Linked DNA regions of Caenorhabditis elegans. The protein of the gene in region 2 purifies or fractionates together with the protein of the main gene of each other region. This does not show direct contact. Each region holds a gene or a part of one and is shown on either strand. Other genes may lie near its edges.

The links.
Region 1: the proteins of fbxa-163 (region 2) and lpr-4 fractionate together in Caenorhabditis elegans (co-fractionation; one large-scale study listed by BioGRID). This does not show direct contact.

The regions. Positions count from the first base shown.
Region 1 is NC_003284.9:11,058,384-11,070,007, forward strand, and holds lpr-4 (Lipocalin domain-containing protein), read left to right. Parts: upstream 1-6,742; 5' UTR 6,743-6,804; coding exon 6,805-6,918; intron 6,919-6,966; coding exon 6,967-7,104; intron 7,105-7,178; coding exon 7,179-7,584; intron 7,585-7,656; coding exon 7,657-7,824; intron 7,825-7,872; coding exon 7,873-8,031; intron 8,032-8,079; coding exon 8,080-8,177; 3' UTR 8,178-8,428; downstream 8,429-11,624. Other genes in the region: lpr-3 (Lipocalin domain-containing protein), read left to right, coding at 10-564, 618-788, 841-986, 1,036-1,161; lpr-6 (LiPocalin-Related protein), read left to right, coding at 1,611-1,820, 2,006-2,180, 2,267-2,428, 2,471-2,607, 2,875-3,008, 3,058-3,247; lpr-5 (Lipocalin domain-containing protein), read left to right, coding at 3,939-4,427, 4,476-4,697, 4,745-4,870, 4,917-5,307, 5,357-5,619, 5,677-5,817; apt-9 (ADP-ribosylation factor-binding protein GGA1), read left to right, coding at 10,383-10,422, 10,473-10,552, 10,923-11,006, 11,103-11,379, 11,435-11,562.
Region 2 is NC_003280.10:1,604,337-1,615,664, reverse strand, and holds fbxa-163 (F-box domain-containing protein), read left to right. Parts: upstream 1-4,934; 5' UTR 4,935-4,949; coding exon 4,950-5,146; intron 5,147-5,273; coding exon 5,274-5,357; intron 5,358-5,406; coding exon 5,407-6,070; intron 6,071-6,136; coding exon 6,137-6,349; 3' UTR 6,350-6,413; downstream 6,414-11,328. Other genes in the region: fbxa-165 (F-box domain-containing protein), read left to right, coding at 1-475, 537-872; fbxa-164 (F-box domain-containing protein), read left to right, coding at 1,663-1,721, 1,802-1,879, 1,920-2,577, 2,625-2,831; bath-33 (BTB domain-containing protein), read left to right, coding at 9,522-9,625, 9,681-10,071, 10,611-10,761, 10,811-10,998; bath-47 (BTB and MATH domain-containing protein 47), read right to left, coding at 11,079-11,272, 11,321-11,328.

The DNA.
Region 1 (11,624 bases), on a different chromosome or scaffold from region 2:
TTGTTTCAGCCGGAGTGAGCGATGCCCTCTCCAACTCTCTTCCAAACCTTCTTGGATCTGGATCAGGAGCTGATTCATCATCTGCCCCAGCTGCATCATCCAACATTCGTCGTGCCCCACAAGCCGCAGCTTCATTCGATGACGCTGTTGCTACTGTTTCTGCATCTGCTGCATCATCTTCTAACATTCGCAGACAACCATCTGCTGCTCAAAGAGCCCTTTCTGGTTTTGCGGCCGCTCTCGGAGGAGGAGGCAACAACTCTCCAACTCATGCAGGACTCCCAAGAATTCCAGGAATCCCACTTCTTCCAGGAGGTATCCCAAGAAACTCTCAAGGACAAATTGACATCGTTAGTCTGATCGGATCAGTTACCAAGCGTGTATCTAACGGAACCACCCTTTCTGAGCTTCTCCCACCAGAGAGACTCCAAACTCTCGCTGACAATGTCACTGATGCTCTTCTCCCAGAAACACCAACTGTCGATCTTTCCAAATTCATGGGAAGATGGTTTGAGGGAATTAACTCTCCAAGAGCCACCGAACAAAGATGCGTTGTTCATCATTGTGAGTACAGTTGTTTGTAAAAAAGGAATATTTGTTTAAATCAAAAATTTCAGACGGAGGACTTACCCGCAATGACAAAACCGCCACTTTCACCGCTCTCAAGGTTTACAGAGAAGGATCTGAGTTTGGACCAGTCAAGTATTCTCTTGGGTATGCTTTCCGTGGAGGAAACAAAGATGCCATGCTCCAACTTCACTCTTCTGAAACAAGTGACGCTCAACCATGTATGTTTATTTCTTCCTCATTTTCAATAGGCACCTAATCCATCATTTTTAGTCTGGATTTACAAACTTGGACCAGAGGGAAAGAACTCATTCGGAGACTCCCAATACGAGTACGCTATCATCTCCAATTGGGTCAAATATCCAGTTACTGTTTTGGTTCGCGACCCTGATACTTTCAAGACCAAATACCAGAAAGAGGCAAGTCAGAAAATACATGACACTTATAAATGATAAATATAACTTTCAGGTTCTCCGTTGGCTTGAAGACCAAGGATTCATCAACGGATTTATCAGAGCATTCAACCTTCTCCAACCAGCTGGATACTCAACCTGTCAATACGCAGACTCGACTTTTGAAGTTTTCGGAAAGTAAATCCAACCACAGTCAACGAGTACATTGGGCCCTCAGTCGCACCCACCAAATTAATTTTTACTGAAAAATCTCTTAAATGACCTCTTTCTCCTTCTCACTTTTATTGCCTATTTTTTCGCCAAACATTCCCGCATCAGTTTGCAATTACTTGTTGTTGTACAGTTCTTAATAATTGCATTATAAATTTAATAACTCTTTAATAATATAAGAACCCGCATAATAAAAATTCGTAATAAACATTTCTTTCCATATATTATACTGCAATTCACAAATCCATTTACAACGCATTGAACCCCACTTAAAAAGGGTGAAGGTTACAAGTACACCGTGCCCTAATTACTCACGTAATGTAGGTAAATTGTGGTTTACTGCTTGATGAGACAGTTTCACATGAAACATGGAACACACAGGCACCGAAAATGAAGAGAAGAGGGGGAGCTTGAAGATTAATGGGCGGGGTTCAGGTTATGAAGGTCGAGGAAGAGAAAGGAGAAGGCGTCCATCGCAACAGCCAGCAACTGCAGCAGTCACTTCTGTTCACTACATATACGGTCAATATTCTAGTAGTGACCGGTGTCTTTCTAAAAATAATGTGGTCTCGAAATGTTGCACTGGTCTTCTGTCTCCTTGGTGGAGTTACCGCTATTGGAGAAAATGCGGTAAGTATCCCTTAAAACAACAAACTAGTCGAATTTTTCGGATTCAAATTCAATTTAATTAAATAAGATACAGAACATTGGAAATTATCTTTCTTTTGTTAAATGACATTTGTAATTTATGATATTTAGTAACTTACGTCAAGTTTTGAATATGTGTCAGCATAATATTAAAAATTGTAATTCAGATGGATTTCCAAGCCATTACTGGTATTCTTGGAGGAATTGGAAAAATGCTCGAAAGCAAAATTGACACCATCAATGTCCCTGCGGAGATGGTTATGGGAAAATGGTTCCAGATGTACAAGGCTGCTATGAACTTTGATGTTGTCCGCACCACAATGTTCTGCCCAGTTGCTTATTGTAAGTTTATCTTTCTAAAGTCTCAAAAACATGTTTTTGAACCTGTTCGAATCATAAACTAAGCTCAAATAACAAGTAACTTGCAGTCTCTCCTAATCCGATAATGGGTGAAGAAGGATTCTCGATGCAAGAAGCTTACAGAGTGGTTTCAAAAACTGGACCAATTGAGACTTACAAAAGAGACATGAACAAAGTTGGACCAGGACAATACTGGATGTACACTGAAGAGTACTTCTACCCAAGACAATGTGAGCGAAAAACATTTAATTTTGACTAAACTTGCTTTTCAGTTTACATTATCGGAGCTGGACCATCTTTCAATAATGGCACCAGAAATTCTACCGAGCCACTCCAATACTTGATTGCTTCTGATGCTAACCGACTTTCCCTCATGGTTTATGCTAGAGATCCTCTTGTATTTTTCCAGGTCAGTTGCGAAACATCAAGCGTTGCGGCGCGTGTTTTTTGTTTTTACTCTCCTGTAGGGCGCACTAGTGAGATTGATGAACACAGTGATTGACAGGAGGCGAGAATTGGGTTAGCTTATCAACATCGGTTGACCTTATTTTGAATTATTTCTCCGATTACAATCCGTGTCTATTGGATTATGGAATTTGGGATTCAGAAATCGGGAAAGAAAAAAAGCGAAAGTGACAATTGTCTGACATATTTGCAAACATAACATCATTTACAGAAGTACAACAAGGAGGTTGTTGAGTTCATGAATGGACACGGATTTGGAGGAAATGTCTTCTGGAACAGCCCAAAGCCAATTTACCAAGGACCAGACTGCGAATGGCCTTCTGAAAAGGAGGTCTTTGCCAGAAGGTAATGTAATTTACTCATGTAACAGACAGAAAATATAGTTTATTTTCAGAGTTTTGAAAAACCAAGAAATGAACGAGCGCAACAAGAATGGAACTTCAGACCCAATTCTTTCCGGAATGCCACTTGCCGACATGATCCGCGACCCAAAGCGTACTTTGGAAAGACTAGTTGGAACAAAAGCTTTGCAACAAGCCACCGCCGGAATCACAGCCGGTCCACCAGCCAGCCGTAGCGAGTGACCTCATTCTACCATTTTTCGCCATTTTTCCAGTACTTCTACCATTTTCTCTTAATAATCTCTTTCCAATTTCTTCACGCACTAATTATCAATCTGTGATCCTTTAATTATTGTCTACATGTATTAATAATAATATTAATAATGCAATTAATAAGACACGGTTCCGTGTTCCTTCCGTTGTATCTCATTGTCTTTTGAAAAAAGAAAAGTTAATTCAATAAATTTGTAAGTTCATTTTGAATCAGTGTTTTACAGTAGACTTACAGTAGTTTTGCAGTCGCTTACAGTACAATAGTATTGATATTGAAGGTTGTACAACGTTTACTTTCAGTTTATCCTCCTTTCCGTTTTACCGATTTTCGGCGTCATCCATTTGACAGTTTCACTCCCGAACTTCAAACTTCCGATAATAAGATTTTCGGGCCTGTGTACCGTATCAAAAGCAATTCGAAAATGTATGACTGTCTTTAGAGAAACATACACTTGCTGCAACTAGCAAGCGAAACGAGGACACGATTTGAGATTTGAGAAGATAAACTCGAAGAGGCGAGAGAAGAAAGAGAACACAGAGAGGAAAGAAATCGGCGAAGGAGGTTGGACAAAAGAGAAGCGAAAACACTGGACGGATGACCCCGGTTCATTCGACACACCTTCTACAACATCCACACTTTTATTCATTTCATCCATCGAGAATGCTCTCGATAGGCATCCTCTCTATTTGTCTTGTTGGCCTTGCCGGCGCCCAACTTGACGCTTTTGCTCTTCCATCAGCACAACGTTATGCTCCTAAACCAACAGTGCCACCAGAGTTTTCCAATTACTTTGAACTTGATGGGCATGCTCGCGAATTGGTGGACTCTCTGCTAGGACCCCGCCCAGGAGGCCTTTTCCCGGAAAAGACGTTCGAGATTGGAGCCCCACAAGGTCCAGTTCAAAATGGAAATCAGCCAACACACGTTGTTTCAAGCCTAGAGAAGACACTTGAGTCATTCTTCACTGCTCCAGAGCTTCCCGCTGGCCAAGCACTTCCACCAGGATTTGGGTCTGGGTTTTCCGTTGCAAACAACAATAAGGCATTGACTTCTTTCGGAGACATTCGTCGTTCGCCATCAGGCAAAAAGGAAAACCAGGAGGTAGAAGGATCCGGTGCTGTCGAAAACTCAATTGCAGGAATTCCAAATGTACGTAAATCATCTTTCTGTCAGTCCGTTTTAAAATTTGTATTTTAGGTATTCTTGAAGTTGGCAAAACAACCAACTGCTCTAGTTGACGCATTCAACAAGGCAGTTTCGGTTCCAAGAGACTCCAGCGGAAACCCAGTGTTTGAGACAGCACCAGTTGTCCCAGAAGGTGGATTCCTTCCAACTTCAGAAGTTCGTCGCTCTCCATCTTCAGTATCTGAAGTCTCGCACTCAATTGATTCTAAATCAGATGAACTTAATACAGAAGAGGTAAATTTTTTTCGCAGCGTTCTCGAACATTTATTTTTATCTTTTAGTATGGAGGTCTTTCCGAAGACTCAAACTCGTCTGGAGGTGGATTGATTGGAACTATTTTCAATCTTATCAAGCTCGGAGGAAAGAAAGCTAAGGAGAACGCCAAAAATGGGAACGGAACCGCTCCAGTAAGATTTCATATTCTTTTTAACCATCTTAATCGAGTTAATTTAGGAAAAGAACACTATCGGAAAGGCTGTATCCAACCTCCTTTCGGGAGAAAACAGTCCATTCCCAAAACCTGGTAGCAACATTCTGACTGATATGCTTTTCAAGACTCTTTCCAGTGGTTCACTCGAGTCCAATGGAACTGAAATTGAGAAGAGTGAAAATGGCTCAATTGTCCTTACCCCAGCTCAATCTGCCGCCATCAGCAGCAATCTTGAAATGATTCAAGATCTTATCATCAAGCCAAACTCTCCACTATGCACACAAAAACCAATCCCGGTTGAATTTGAACTCGATCCTCTTATGGGACAATGGTACCAAGTTATCTACTCTCCACCAGTATCTACTGGCCCTTGCAGCATGGTTTCTTACAAAAAACTTAGTGATAATGGAGAAGGTAACGTGCATTAATAGATTTTAATCAGTTTTAACTAGTTGTTTTTCAGCCACCGGATCAATCGTAGATGTCTATGAGTACACAACTGATGGAACTCCATATGGAAAGCCAATAATCTCTTCTGGATATGCCTTGGTGAAAGGAAAGGGAGAACTCATCTTCAGAACAAATTCCAACAAAGAAGATGTGACTGTGCACATTCTTAGCGTTGGACCATTGAATCATCAGGGAGAATATGAATATGTTGTCATGTCCACCAACTGCAACTATCCAGTCTATGTATTTGCAAGAGATACTAGCATTTTCAAGCAGGTATGAAAATTAATTAACAGTGATTATGTTGTGATAATTCAACTGATATTATTTTAGAAATACGAACCAGTTGTCAATGAGTTCCTGGACAAGAGCGGAATTGTGAATGGAATCTCTCGCCTGCTTAATGTTGTTGCTCCAGTCGACAACACTATGTGCATCTTCCCACCACATCTTTTCTACAACCAAGGAAGATAGTTTACTCGCCACCATCTTAATAATTTCTAATAACTCCTAATAATTTTTAATATGGTTTTTTTCCATCCATCATCCCGTTCTCATTGCCCTTTCTTCTCTTTCAACCCTCGGGTGATTACCTCATCTTTTTAAGTCTTAGTTTACAATCCAAAGCATTTTTCTTTAATTTTCATTTAGAAACTACACAAAAAATCAGGCCGTGGGCTCGTGCATTCCTTGTTGTATATAGAATTTCGAATAATTTATTCCTTTTTATAATTTCGGTTATATTTTTTCTACGTCTTTCACACTTGTCCTAATAATGTTGATAATATGCAGTTAATAAATTTTTTAAACTATCTATTTTTAACATTTCTTTAGTAATGAAGAAAGAAGTACAATTATTAAACGGATGCGCAATTCTTAACAAAAATGGCATCGTCGAAAAATCAGAGTTGATGTTTCTATAATTGATCATAAAGGATTAAATACAATTAATGAATATTCTCAATTTCTCGGCCCAGATCATTCTTACAACCATGTTATAAAATTATTCAGAAAAGTCATTTTTTAGAACTTAAAACTTTGGTTTACGAAAAATGCCGATTTTGACTTATTGAGAAAGGGGTTTCTTCTTATTTTCTTGTATCAATTTACTCATTTTTCAATTAGGTCAGGTCAAACTCTGGAACAGTGTTTGCCTGTCACATTTATCTTCATCATTCCTATTTCTGAGAGTATCTCTCTATCTCTATCAGAGTAATTCAATCCAGAGGATTAGAAAGGGGTACGGGGAAAAGCGAATATCGGTCAAGTGAAAGTGGTGACTGTCGCAATGATTCGCGGATACAGTCCAGTGAATCTTGCATGAAGAGACGCAAAAGAAGAAGCGAAAATTGGCACGTAACGAGAGTGAAAGCCTATCGACGCTGGACATTTTGAGGTCAACATATATCTCACCCGGACGATACAGCCCATTGAGAAAGCCCACACTTGGAAGTTCTAACGATGCAACGGCTGACGGCGGTTGTTTTCGCCTGCGTAATTGGAGGAGTTTTCCTCGCTGCACCAGATGCACCAACATTCGATAGCCTGCCCGCTGGAATCGACCCAACTGCAAAGGTAAACATTTTGTATTTTTTTCAGTTATTTGAGAGTGCTCAATTTCAGATTGGACCACCAGGAACTGACGACAAAGCTCTTGTGAAAGTTGGAGAGGTGGCTGAATCAATTTTGGATAAACTTGGATTCAGTACCAGAGATGAAAAGGATATTCGTCGTGCCCCAGTGCCAAGTTCTTTCTTTGGAGTGAGTATCTATGTAAATCTGCTGAATGAAATATTCTTCTCGTTTCTGAAATTAAAAAAAAATCTGACGTTTAGAGTGACGATGTCAACCAAGTTATTGAAGAGGCTAATGCTAATCGTGTTGACCTTCAAGGAATCACCTCTGGACAAATCCCAGGACTTGCTCCAATCCCAGTACCAGGATTCCCAGGACCACAGGACGCACCAGTTATTCCAGGAGTCAACACTATTCCAGGACTTAGCAATTTTAACTACCTTGTCGGACAACTTTTCCCACAAATGATTCCACCAGCAAACACTCTTCTAGGATCTTCAATCAGCAGAATTCTTCCAAAGGATACTGCAAAAAATATCGCAAAGGATGTGTTCAGAGCTGTTCACCCAACTGCTGAAAATGTAGATACCGCTAGAATGATGGGAAGATGGTTCCAAGTTATCAACTCTCCACATGTCATCCGTGAGGCCTGCACCGTGTCACACTGTAAGTAGCAGATTATATATGTCTTAACTAAAACACTTTTTTTAAACCATCTTGCCAATGTTCAATTTTCAGTCGGAGCCCTTACGAACAACACATACTCTGCTTCCTTCACCATCCTCAAGTTCTACAGAGAAGGAAATCCAAATGGATCCCCAAGATATGCTCTCGGATACGGATTCAAATCTGGAGAAACTGGACAATTCGTTCTTCACAACTCCAATTCTGCTGATGCCGAGCCTTGTAAGTTATAAACTAACTACATAATTGATAGTTGTGAAATATGCTCAGTCTGGGTTATCAAGATGGGACCACTCAATGAGTACAAGCAATACGACTACGCCATCGTTTCTACCTGGGTCAGATATCCAGTCTTTGTCATTGCTCGTGACCCAGAACGCTTCAGAAAGCTGCACATGAAGAATGTCCTCGAATTCTTGCAACAGAACAGTGAGTTAACATGGTAGAGCTTTTTTATTTAATAATTTTAATATTTAGACTACATCAACGTCATGACCAAGGCCTTCAACATGATCTCTCCAGTTGACTATGAAGCCTGTCAGTACACTCCAACTTTCTCTGGAACCGGAAAGTAATTGCTTGCAAGCGCCGTACGACTGTCATCTCGCTGTCGGGTATCCTCCATCAATTAATTGTTTCTCCCCAAACATTCCATTCTGTGTGTAGACAGATTTTGTAATAATAATAATTATAATAATGAAACTAATAACAACAAGAAGTTAGTTATAATAACTTGTAATTTTTCCCTTTCCTTGTGCCTCATTAATAACGGATTCTATGAAATCCTGATCCTCAGTTTGACAATAATAAACTATTTGATATTAAACCGTTGATCCTCAGCAAGTGTATATATTTTAAAATTAAATAAACAGCTTCTTTTTAGTTACATAGAAACTGTAAACTAAACACTCCGAAGGCAGTTTAAAAAAGGTAAATGAAGTTTACAAAAATGCCAACATAGTAGTGGAGCGGGGCCATCGGAAACCGATTAATATTTCAGATGTGAAATAGCTAGACAATTATTCAGAATGATCTACCGTTTTGAGTAACATAATCTGTTAAAATTTAAACAAGTCAACAATTGCTCATTATTTTTCTAATTTCATCATTCCTACAAACTAAAATTATTTACAGAAACTGCTCCCTACTCTGGAAGTTTGAACCTTAAATAATAAAACTTCAGGGATTTGAATTTGTGTTCCGCAATTAACTGTTTAAGCTTTTGGATTACAAATGTCTTGGTTTTATACCTGAGGTTTGAACAAACAGTTTTCAAGATTCACAACATCCATTTAAACTTTATCACCGACTCACAGAAGATGCTTCCTACGTGCCAGTTATTTTGAGAGATAAAGAGGAAAGCCTCTTTGGAAAAGTGCAAGCAACATTTTTCAAATATCCAGGTCATCTTTCCCAAATCTTGTCGACCAAAGGCGACTGTGTTGCGCATTGCGCTTCTCAGTGGATTATGTCAGATTCGATATCAAAAGTTTTTCTTGGACAATTCTCTCATTTCGCTTTCGTAACAAAATTGGGTCATGGTCGGTTGTGTTTTATCTCGAATTTCCCGGATAGCTGATTGTAGAAATCGGATAAAAAGAATGAATTAAAACAGGGAAGTTAATTTGAAAAATTCGAGGAGAAAGGCAGCCGGAAAATTTTATTTTGCGTGTCAGTTGAGAGAAAAGTGTTTATTATAAGCGTGTTTAGTTCAGGACCTGATACTTACAAACATGGTAAAAAACGAAACTGGGCAAATTAGGAAAAATCGAGTATTTTGCCATTGAAAACGACAAAAAATGTTCAACAGTGCCTGAATAAACCATGAAAGTATTGCCCAAGATAATTTTAAGCAGGTATTTAATATTAGTAGTATTTAATATTAGTAGGTAATCAGGTAACAAGTATAGGCAGGTATGCTTAAGGTTCATTTTTATTTTGCTGAAGATATTTTGCTTTAGCTACTTTCAGACATTTCCCCGTATATTTGCAATATGTAGAAGACTGTAGTCGGAGAAATGTATCAAATAAGTATCTTCAAGTAAAAACGTTCTAGAGAATTGCCTGCAAATTTGAATGTTTAAAAATTGACAATTTTTTCCACAGAAAATATATAAACAATTGCATAACTTTTTTAAACTTTTTAATTATAAAATTTAAATCAACTCTACAAATTTCCTCTCAATACTCATTGATTTTCTATTTTAAAGGTTTATGTTCATGTTCAACAATTATATTCACGCGTTTAAATTTTATTCCTAGATTGCTCAATTCATTATTCATTGTCCTTCTGTTCAGGCGCATGTTTTCCGAAAGATCAGCATTTGGGCACGCTCCAGGACAAGCATCAAAATGACAAAATTGAGTTTTAGCTCTCTGAATGTATGTCTCAAATCCGAATCACAGAACTATTCTTGGTCACGTTTAGTGCACATTGTGTTGCATCTCACTGGTCAGAATAAGGGGTACTCATTGCACAAGCTCAAGAAGACGACGAGAAGCAAGATGATGAGTTGCGGCAGACGACAAGACACATAGATCGATAGGCGCCGGTGATGGAAGTGGAGAGCAATGGAGCACGCCTCTCGCCCCCGGGCTTCATTTGAAACCTCTTCTTCTTTTTTTCCCTTCTTTTGCTACTTGGGGCCTTTTAGAGAAAAAAAAGGAGTTGAAGAAGAAGGAAAAGTCGCCGTTTTGCTGTTGTGCTTGCTTGTTTTTCCTATTTCTCCTCCTTTTTCGTTTTCTTCCAAGTGGTGTGCACCAGTTGAACGCTAGCTGCAATGGAGGAAGAACCAGTGCGTCCCATTGACTACTGGGTTTGTAAGTGACACTTAAGTTGGGAATGTGCAGAGAAATTGCAATGATTTTAGGTCGCGCAACAGATAGATTCATCGGTGACGAGGAAAGAATTAAAGCATTGGACTTCATAATTGAAAGCATTTATAAACAAGTAAGTTTGAAATTTGTGAGAATCAAGGAAAACAATACAACTGGACAAAGATATTTTGAGAAACAATACTTTGAAAATGCATGTCCTTTGTTTTCGTTTATTTTCAATTTGATTAGATGTAATTTGCCTTTATTTTTTAGTTAAACATATAACTCAATTTCATCAGTTTGCTTCCGTTTATTGATACTTGGGTAGTGCTCAAAATAATTAAATTCAAATTAATGAATTGAAATCAAAACGTAAGTTCTTTTCTAATTTCTAGCATTAGAAGTAATTTCTGAACCTAAAGATTGAAAAAAATTGAAATTTTATTAAAATTAATATTCCCGTGTTTAAATATCACAAAGATCTACAACGTACAAGTTTTCAGCCTGCAAGTGCACTGCTCGCAGTGGATCTTTTTTCACACAAGCTTTCAAGTCCTTCACAAGAAGAAGCGATGCTTACAATCAGAGTGAGGATTCGTTTACTTCAAAATCATGTTCAAAGATTTTCTATTCAAAAAACCATATTAGACAATTATTTTTTAGTTTAAAATAATGTTTTTCAGGCTCTTGATTATTTAGTACGCAATGGAGGCGAAAAGGTTCATGAGCGCTGTGGTCGTTACAAATTCCTAAATGAGCTTGTCCGATTGATAGCTCCCAAATACAATGGGAAATTGACAAGCGACGCACTGAAAACGGAAATCATAAAGCTGCTGTTCATCTGGCAATTGTCAATCAAGCACATTCCAAAATACAAGCAAGTGTACGAGTCATTAAAATTGAGCAAGATAATCACTGACGATCCGCATGTTAGAGAAACTGAAGTTCCTGTTTTCGCAGGTGATTTTCTCTTCACTTTATAATAATAATAAGTAATATTCACGTCTATTTTCAGTTCCACCTGTCAGGTCATCGGTGTTTGACAATGAAGAGCAAGCCGTTCTTTTGAAAGCTTTATTATCAAGTAATCGCCCAGAAGACTTGGAAACTGCCAATAATCTAATCAAAACTCTTGTAGAAACTGTAAGTTTTTTTTTCAAAAAGTCAATGTTTCAGTCATTGAACATTGAATTATAGTCAAGTAG
Region 2 (11,328 bases):
CACGAGCGATGAAGACAACAGAAAAGAATTTTTTGTGACTGACGAGGACTATATAGAGCTAGGCGTCAAGGATCTCAAATTGATTATGGAGAATCAAAATGTTCAATTGAAGAAATTCCAGTTTTCGAATGGATCTAATCAAGACACTCAAAAGAAATTCATTGACAGAGCCGAGATAGCTTTCAAGTCTGCAAAAAGCTCCACAAGAACCGTGGAAGCACACTACAATTCATTAGCAGAAATTGCCCAACTCTTGCCCATTTTCCATGCTGGAAAACTGGAAGAAATTAATTTCAAACAAGGGGCCAGGACTGATGGATATGAGCAGCTGGTTGGCCTGGAACAATGGAAGAACGCTAGAAAATTTGATGGATTTTGGAGCTTGAACGTTCCAATTGAGCACTGTTTGCATTTCGAGTGCTTCAAAGATCATTTCGTAAGATTCAAAGAAGAAGATGCAATGAAGCTTCGTTATGTGAGCTTTTCTTACATTTCACAAAAATTTTGACATTTCTCAAAAATCAGACAACTTTCAGATGCTTGATAGATCCACTAACTTTGGCTATGCTGAAATCACCATCGATCCAATGAACGTCAGTCTATTGAAAAGGGCCTTTGATGTGAACAACGACAATAAGTTCGAATTCGTCTACCAATCTCCGGACAACGGGTCTTTCGAAGTTCATTGTGCTCTTCGAGTGCTATATATCACTAAGTCTGGCTACAAATTTAAATACAACAACAAGAGTGCCAGCACCTTCTATAAGCCACCCCCGATCCCAGCCCCTCCGGCGCTTTTTTTGAGGGATTATCAATTCTTCGATCCCCGTCCACGAATGCCAACCGATAGATCCCGCTACAGACCTTTTTAACGATGGAAGCACTTGTCTATTTTTATGTGTTTTCAAAGCTCTTTTTTGAACACTTTCCATTTATTTTTATACAATTTTTACTTTATAAAATTTTTTATAATTTTTTTGATCTTAAGAGCAAACTTTGGGAGCCAGACTTTGGACCAGAAGTAGTTGGTAATAGAGAAGATGAAAATTGATTTTTTTTTTGTTATGAAAAATTAATCAATTGGAGATTTGGTTGCGTTTGTTGCTCAGCTGTATCTTTGTGGATCTATGTGCTAACCACACCGGAACAGGCCCGCGAAATTATCGCGTGAACGTTCTTGCATCAAGGATTCTCATGTGGTGTCACATTGTCCCATTTCGTTGTGATCTACAAAATATGCGGGAATTCAGACGCAAACTTATCAGCTGATTTCGCATGATTAAAAACGTGCTGACGTCACATTTTTTTGGGGAAACAATTCCCGCATTTTCTGTAGATCAAACCGTTATGGAACAACCTGACACCACGTTGATTCTTCTGCTTGGGCCCAGACAGCGAGAGCTCCGAGAAAAAACTAGCTCATAATTCCGGCTGTGTTGAACGTTTTTTTTATTAGTCAACAAACTTATGTCATACTCTCTGTCTCTAGTTCAATCAATCAGTTTCAGTTGTATGTATATTGTTATCAGTTTTGAAATAGTCAGTTCCTATCAGCGCTAAATTCACTTTTTTGAAGTAAATACATCAAACCGTTGAAAATCAGTTTTTTTTCACTTACAGAATATTTTCTTTCTTAATTCTCAATCAACACAATAGTTTCCAATGTCTGCTGCTCTACGCGAAAATCACATCGAAAATGATGCCATGCACTACAATAAAAGGTAAAGTTATAATATATTTTTGTTTTAAAAAAGTTTAGAATCAGCTAGAGACAAGATTAAATTTAAAATTACATTTTCAGCGCCCATCCAAAGTCCTTGTCGGCCATGCCGCTCAACGTGGTCAGCGAGATCTTGGCCCATCTGAACAACATCGAATCGTAAGAATTTTCCGAAAATCTTAAAATGAACCATTTTCAGATTGGTTCTGATGAAAGTGTCTCGAAATTTTCGGCGCGCTGTTCAAAATTCAAAAGTTGAGATTAATAGACTTACTGTACAGCTTTGTACAGGAGGACAATCTTCAAGCATTGTTTATGGCCGCTACGTCATCACTTACAAGCAGAATAATGGCGGTTGTACAGTTTCTTATGTTGATAATAAAGTCGTTGGGGGCAACAAAAAAGAAGTTTTTGTGCCTGAAGAAAACTATCTAGAGCTTTGCAACAAGGATCTCAAGTTGATGATGGAAAATCGAAAGGTTGAATTTTACAGTTTCGGAGTTTCAATTTCTGGAATTGAAACAGAACTCAGCAAAAAGTTCATCGACGGCATTGAGGAGACTATGAAATCTGCAAAGAGTTTGACGTCTAGAACCGTTGCAACATATAACACTTCGTTGTCAGGACTCGCACAACTGGTGGGCATCTTCCCTGCTGAAAAGTTGGAAGTGATAGATTTCAAAGGAGAGGGGAGTGTCGGATTTGAACAGCTGATCAATTCGGATCAATGGAAAAAGGCTAAAAAGTTTGATGGACTTTGGAGTTTGAGTATTCCAATTGAGCACTTCTTGCATTTCGAGTTTTTCAAAGTAGATCTAGCGATATTCACAGAAGATGATGCTGTAAAAATTTGCGATGTGGGTTATCTTATGAAGATGTTTTAAATATCAATTACATTTATCAGATGATCGACACATCCACTCACTTTGGTCGCGCTCAGATCCGCTGTAACTCTATAAACATCAGCGGGATGAAGAGAATCTTCGGAGCCCATGATGAGGAGGACAACATCGTCTACCAAAACCTGAACAACATACCTTTCTATGTAGAATTTTTGCCTGATTTGCTCCGAGTTACAAAGTATGGCTATAGAATTGAAATTGACAACTAGTACAATTTTATATAATTCAAATATTCAATAAACATTATTTAGTTTTTTGGCAAGCAGAACAAAATATATCGAGGATTGTCTTTTGATTGTCGTTTTTCTAACAGAAGAATTAATAATAGTTACGACCCTATTCACACGAGCATTTTGAGGAACTTTTAGCAACCAAACCATGCGTCATTATAACTGACCCACTGATAGCAGTCTGTACACTACGTTGCGTCCGAGTACTTGCTAGTTGTTAATGGTATCAATAAATTCTGCATTCAAATACAGTTTCAACTGAGTCACTTGGTATCACCTTTTATTAATTATTATCAAAATCTTTATGCAATTTTGGGAAGTCGCTTAAAAAGTTTAGCATTCGTTCCATCGGAAATCTCATGGAAATGTGGTGAGAGTTGAAGCTTCTTAGCCTTCTCCACTGTATCAATACGGAGAATGCATACATCGAGAAGCTTCAGAAGTCGATACTTGTCTGCCATCCATAGCATCGCGTCGTTTCCAATTTTAGAATGGGTCAGCAGGTGGGTTTCGGCCAATCTCAACACAGCCGGAATTATAAAGCGATCGGCGAGCTCCAGAAGCTTCTCCACTGTTTTATCTGTAACACAAGTATCTATTTAATTTGTTACGGATTTGGAATTCCAATGCTCACCATTCACCGGAAGAACAGTTTCCGGATGAATTGTGCTCAGAACAAGACCAAACTCCTCAATAGTGACGTCTTTGAGTGGAATCTCATCCAATTCGCCATCTTTGAAATTTGATGAGAAAAGTGCAGAAAAGTAGTCGGAGTGGAAGGAGAGAAACTGAAAAATTGCCTGATTAATTGAAATAATTTGAAAAAAAAACTTACAGCTTTATTGACATGCAACTGCTGCTCTTCAACCAGCAAAATTGCATCATTTTTATCCGAGGGCTGAAACATTTTTTCAAGCAATGATTGCTCGAACGGATCGGGCTCAATTTTGACGTAAGTTGGCGTAAAGGAATATTCAAAATAAAAATAATTCGGCGTACTGGTGTCTCCCCAATCGACACGATACCCTTATGAAGTTAACAATACACTGTATTCCATCTGTCGGTTGCCGCGTTCGTCTTTTAGAAGAATTTTGCCAACTAGGTTGATGATTCCTTCTTTTCCAAGTTCTTCCCAATTGAAAACCCATCGTCTCTGATTTTTGTCGCTTGGAGAGTAATAGAAGGCGCTGAAATAATCGCGTTAAGAATTGCAAAAGTAGATACATTTTTAAATTTGCTATATCTTTTTCAAATTTTGGTTAGAACTTAGGTAGGTCTTGGTTTGACCATTTTTTGCAAGGTTAGCACTATAGCAATCAGAAGTTGGACAGAGAGCAGGCACTGCCAAAACACTCACCATCGTATCCCGGCAACATTGCTCGTATCTACTTCTTGTACATTACCGTTGTATGATTTACTTTTGTGTTGATAAACAATTTCAGCCATAGATTTACTTTTGTGTTGATAAACAATTTCAGCCATATCTATATGAAATGGAAGAAATGAAAAACCGTGGCTGCCATTGTTTCTTATCTAATCGGAATGCTTTTATTGTTGTTACCACGAGCAAGCACGCCTATTTGCGCATAACTTTACTGAAATAAAGGAGACGAGTTTCAAAACATTGACTTTTTACTGTAAATTGCCCATTTTTTGCCACTTTCAAATCGTTTTGATGGGTTAAACCTAGATTTTCTCAATTATGCATATACGAATTAACCGTTTTCAACAATACTGTCCTTTTTTTGCAAAATAACAATTTTTTGAAATTGTACAAAACCACTAATAACTGAAAAAAGGACATTTTTTTAGTGTTATGTGTAAATATGACTTTGTTTTTTACATGTCTTTTGATTTTTCACTCTCTTTAATTTTCTCTGTCTCTAGTCTCAATTACATTTTGAAATCATTCATTGTTATCAGTTTCGAATTATATCGAAACTTCGAAAAACGTTTTATCAGCGTCGAACTCCATTTCATTTAAGCAATTGCTCCTGAACCGGTGAACGTTCTTGGTAACTCCACTCTTAACTTTTTTGTTTCTGTTCGAAATCAATTCCTTTCTGAAAAATTCAAATTTCCAGGTAATAATTCCAAATGTCTGCTGCTCTCCGCCAAAGTGAGCTCACCATCCGAACATGTATTCTCTACGAAGTACTCGACAAAAAACCAATTAAACAGTCCTTTGACAATTTTCGTAGAAAAGTTGGAAATGACGTCATCTCATATTATGAGTTTGAATTTTGGTTCTATCGATTTAACAACGGAAATCATGACTTGCACTATGATCGAAGGTAATTTTTTTAAAATATTTTTTGTAAGAAAATTGATAAAATCTTTCTAAAAAAAAGTAAAACTTACTGAAATTGCAGGTTTATTTTGTCCAAAAATTTTTTTAGATCAATAATAGTACTTTTTCAGCGTCAATCCAGTTCCACGTTTGCTGTCAGGCATGCCTCTTAACGTGATCAACGAAGTTTTAAATCACCTGGACCTTATCGATTTGTGAGAATTTTATCAAAAAGCATTAAATTGTTAATTGTTAAAATTTCAGAATAGCTCTGATGAAAGTGTCTCGGAATTTTCGGCGCGCTGTTCAAAACATGAAAGTTTGTGTGATCGAAAGTCTTGTCGTACAGTTGTTCGAAGAAACAGATTGCACAAAAATCATTTACAACTTGCGCTATAAATTCGAATATCGCCAAAATGATGCAGGCTGTGAGGTTACCTTCTTTGCCAGAAACGGTGACATCTTCGAAAAACAAAAAGTTGTGGCTGGCGGGAACTACATAGAGCTATGCAACAAGGATCTCAAGTTGATGGTGGAAAGTGGAAAGGCTCAAATGGAATTATTTAGGCTTGACAATAAAGGAATTCAGAAAAAATCCCGCAAAAAGTTCATAGCCGGTATCGAAAAAGCTCTCAATTCGGCGAAAAACTTGTCGTCAAAAACTGTGCAAACCCAATTCGTTTCATATCCAGAACTTGCCCAACTGTTGCCCATTTTCCCTGCGGAAAAACTGAAAAAACTTATACTGAATGGATTGGACGGTCGAGAATATGAACAGCTGATTGATCTGGATCAATGGAAAAAGGCGAGAATATTTCAAGGATTTGAGGGGGAGTTAAATGTTCCGATTGAGCACTTCTTGCATTTCGAGTGGCTCGATGTTCATCTCGCAACATTCACAGATGAAGATGCAATGAAGCTTCGTGATGTGAGTTTTCAAAAAAAAAAAATTCAAAAATACAGTTCAATATCAAAAATGCCAAGTAATTTTCAGATGATCGACAGATCAGCTCACTTCGTTTATGCTGAAATTCAATACACACGTATGAACATCGATAGACTAAAGAGAGTCTTCGATGTGCACAGTGTGGAGCACAATCACATTTACGAAACTCCGGACAAAAGATCTTTCTATGTTGCATTTGGTCAATTTATGATCCAAATTACAAAACCCGGATATCAATTCGACTACAACTACAAGCTCTAAATTGAGACTTTTTGTCAAATGTTCAATTTGATTTTTAACAAAATAAAGTTTTGCCAATTTGTAACTCTTTCCTATTAGAATTCAAAACAATATTGTACTGCCAAAACTCCCAAGTAGAGGTTTCAACCGTGTTGAGCGTAACAGCTGACACCTATTTTGTTATCAGTTTCGAAATACTGAGTTCTTATCAGCTTCGAATTTTATTTCAATGAGGCAAACACGTTTTTTTTCAGTTTCAATCAACACATTTTTGTTCTGAATTGTTTTTTTTGTTTCCGCTTCTAGAAATTCCAACTTTCAGGTAAGAGCTAAAAATGTCGGCTGCTCTCGATCCCGTCCCATGTTCTTTGTCAGTCATGCCTCTGCACGTGATCAACGAAATTTTAGACCACATGGAAATTATCGATTTGTGAGAATTTCGCAATGACGCTTCAAACAATTTATTGAAACAATTTCAGAATGGTTCTTATGAAAGTGTCTCGAAACTTTCGAAGTGTTGTTCGAAATATGAAAGTTTTGATCAATTGGCTTACTTTGAATTATTCTGAAAAGTTACACTGTGTATCGATTGTCTATAACATGCGCTATCATATTAGGTATGAGCAAAAGGATGGAGGTTGTGTTGTTGTTTACTATTTTGGTAGTCCCAAACGCAAGGAAATACAGAAATTTGTGGCTGGTGAGGACTATGTAGAGCTATGCAACAAGGATCTCAAGTTGATGATTGAAAATCGAAAGGTTCAATTGGAAACATTCCTACCTGTTTTTGACGGAATTGAAAACGAAGCCCGTAAAAATTTCATTGACGGCATTGAGAAAACTCTCAAATCAGCGGAAAGCTTGTCATTAAAAACTATCCAATCACACCACGTTTCATTCCAAGAACTTGCCCAACTGTTGCCCATTTTCCCTGCGAAAAAATTGGAATATCTTTATTTATACGGGAGGATGGATGGCCCAGGATATGAGCAGCTGATTAACCTGGATCAATGGAAACAAGCTAGAAAATTTCATGGATTTTCTAAGAATTTGATTATTCCAATTGAACACTTTTTCATTTCGAGAGGTTTGATGTTCGTCTCGAAACTTTCACAGAAGGTGATGCAATGAAAATTCGTAATGTGAGTGTGCTAAAACATTGAAAAATCCGTGAAAATATTATCGACTAACTTTCAGCTGATTGATAGATCTTCTCACTTTGTTCATGCTGGGATTCACTTCAGAGATATGAACATCAGAAAGCTGAAAAGAGAATTTGCTGAGGAGCGAAATTTCGTTCACCAAACTCCTGACAAAAGATCTTTCAATGTGGAAATTTGTCGCGATGGGCTTATTATCAATAGAACGGGATAAATATTCGAGTGCACTTTAATTGAGACTTCATGCCTAATACTTCGTTATTTTGTACATCTACGTCCATTTTCCACAATAAAATATTAAAATTAAATAGTTTAAATAGTGGTTTTTGGTCACTATTTGTCAATAATCAATTTCATTCAACAAACTTCCCTGTCTCTTGTGAAATCAAATGTTTGTGCATTGTTATCAGTTTCGAAAAAGAGAATTCTTCTTATCAACAGAGAATTCAATTTTAATGTGGTAAACTCTTCAGAACCGTTAACCGTTCTTTTTCTGTTCAAAATAGTTATTCCAGTTTTAATTAACACATTTTTTTGCTTCTAAAAATTCAAATTTTCAGGTAATAATTCCAAATGTCTGTTGCTCTTTGCCAAAGTGAGCTCACTAACCGTACATGTATTCTCTACGAAGTTCTCGACAAAAAATCAATTAAAGAGTCTTTCGACAATTTTTGTAGGAAAGTTGGAAATGACGTCATGGGATTTGCTGATTTTGAATTCTGGTTCTATCGATTTAAGAACGGAAATCATGACTTGAACTACAATAGAATGTGATTTTTTGAATATTTTTGAGGGGAAATAATACACAAGTACCAAATTCGAATATCGGCAAAATGATATAGGATGTGAGGTTACCTACTTTGCCAAAAACGGCGAGGACTTCGAAAAACAAACATTTGTGCCTGGCGGGAACTACGTAAAGCTATGCAACAAGGATCTTAAGTTGATGGTGGAAAGTGGAAAGGCTCAGATGGAATCATTCCGGATTGACAATAATGGAATTCAGAAAAAATCCCGCACAAAGTTCATTGCCGGTGTTGGGAAATCTCTTAGATCGGCGAAGAACTTGACATCAAAAACTGTGCAAACCCAATTCGTTGCATATCCAGAACTTGCCCAACTGTTGCCCATTTTCCCTGCGGAAAGACTGAAAAAACTTATACTGAATGGATTGGACGGTCAAGAATACAAACAGCTAATTGATTTGGACCAATGGAAACAAGCTAGAATATTTCATGGATATGCTGAGAATTTAATTATTCCAATTGAAAAATTCTTTCACTTTGAGAGGTTTGATGTTCATCTCGCAAGATTCACAGAAGCAGATGCACTGAGGCTTCGTGCGGTGGGTTCTTTACATTAATATTTCTCAAAACTCTTTAGTTGCTTCCAGATGATCGATAGATCTGCTCACTTTGGTTTTGCTGGAATTTGCTGTAATTATATGAACAACAGTGCACTGAAAAGAATTTTCAATGTTGAGCACGAAAACTTTTATCAAACTCCAGACGAAAGAAGTTTCGATGTGCAATGTCGTCCTGGTGAGATCTCCATCACAAAATTTGGCTACACTGTCGAATAAAGAAACATCAAGATTTTTTTTTGAATATTATGTGTTATGCAAACTAATAAATGAACATATGAAGTATACATATGCTGCGTTATAATTAGCTGATTCTGTTCGATGCACCATGTATCAAACTGGTCTTGGCAGATCATATCTAGTCTACGACAACTTTGAGTGGTCGATGCACCATGTCTCAATGTGGTCTTGGCAGCTCATATCTAGTCTAAGACAACTTTAAGTTATTGACGCACCATGTCTCAAGTTGATCAAGTGGATCATCAATAGTCCGAGCATTAAAAAAGAAGGGGACACTGGAATATATTGATCCAGTTTCGCAGCTTATCGATCGGAAAATTTGCGGTTGCACAGCGTTCTGGGCTCTTGTAAATTTCTTGCAATAAGTCCAGCAAGCCAATATCATTATTACTTCTTAGTTTTTCTGTCTTTATTTCACCTACTTTGAAAAATGACGAAGGAATTTGTGATGACTCGAAAAGTGAAGAATATTGCCGCTATGAAGGAAGGAGATTCGCAATCTACAACAAGTGAACAACATTTTGGACTACCTTGGTAAGTTATTATTCTAACAATAATTTCAATTTTTAATGATCAAAATCATTTTCAGGTATTTCAAGGTCTTCTGCAAAGACAAACATTTGCAGTTATGCGTGTATTATGGAGCCCAGCTTATAGCCGAGGAGCAAAGTATCGAAGTTGAATGTGATTTCAAAATGATTACCCCTACTGGCAAGATATTTGTCGAAAAGACAGGAGTTCGAAAGTATGGAGGTGAGACGCAGTACATCGGAATTGGATTTCCAAAGTTTATGTTATGGGAGAAAATGATGAAGGAGTTTGTGGTAGAGGACACGGTGACGGTTGAAGTTTGTCTGAAGATCATAGACACTTGGGGATTTGAGAAGAAGGTGAAAGTCCGCAACTTCGACGAGGCTATGAAGGAGTTTTCGGATGTTGTGTTGGTGGTGAAGGAGACCAGGTTTCATGTGGCAAAACTGGTCAGTTAGCCTTTAAGATTAGCGTCACGACCTGAGCTTGAGCTTATGTTTACATAGGCCAAGGCTGTAGGCTCTGGGCTCTGGGCTCTGGCCTCTAGGCTCTGGGCTCGAAGATCTAGGTTCCGGGCTCTGGGATCTAGGTTCTAAGCTCTAGGCTCTAGGATCTAGGCTCTAGGCTCTACTATCTAGGAGCTAGGGTCTAGGCTCTAGGCTTCAGGATCTATTATCTAGGATCAAGTATCTAGGATCTAAGACCTAGGATCTAGGATCTAAAATCTAGGATCAAGTGTCTTGGATCTACGCTCTAGGCTTCAGGATCTATTATCTAGGATCGATTATCTAGGATCTAGGATCTAGGATCTGGGATCTAGGATCTGGGATCTAGGATCTGGGATCTAGGATCTAGGATCTAGGATCTAGGCTCTAGGATCTCGGATCTAGGATCTAGGATCCAGGATCTAGGATCTATACTCAAGGCTCTAGTCTCTAGGCTCCAGGATCTATTGTCTAGGCTAATTTCCTAATCATAACTATTTCAGTTCCTTGCTGCCCAGTCCGGATACTTCAAGGCTCTGCCAATTGGCAACTTCAAAGAAGGAAACAGCTCCGAAGTCACTCTCAGCTCAATCGACCCCAACGACTTCCAGAACTTTCTGGAAGTTCTCTACGGCCACCAGGAAGCTATCACAGGTTTGACATAGGACACTTATAGGAAAAAATAAAATTTTAAAATTTTCAGACGAGTCGGTGGAGGGTGTGCTTCTCATTGCAGACATGTACAATGCCAAGTTGGTCACCCAAAACTGCGAGAACTTTCTTTTCAGAGGAGCGGGATCTAAGATGATGTTGAAGAAACAGCTGCAGCTGGCCTATCGCTATAACTTGGAGAACTTGAAGAGATCTTGCTATTCCAATCTGGAAATTTGATCTATGATCTACATATGTACCTGTAAAATTCTGTGCAGTACAACCTCTAATAAAACATTTTTATTAATTTCCGTACAAATCTAGCAGCATTTCCGGCGACTTTTCCAATAATCACAATGTGCCTTTAGAGTCTTCAAATTATGATGCTTCGCCAGCTTCTCCTTCTGCTCCAGCGTTTTCTTGGAGTACTTTATTACATACTCTTCACACCGCTTCACAATTCCCGCGGCTTCATAGCTTTGCGCAATTTTCAGAATTCCATGGACAGTGTCGTCTGAAAATGTTCAATTTTGTTAAGAATCTGTAGAACCTTGAACGTTACCATTAATT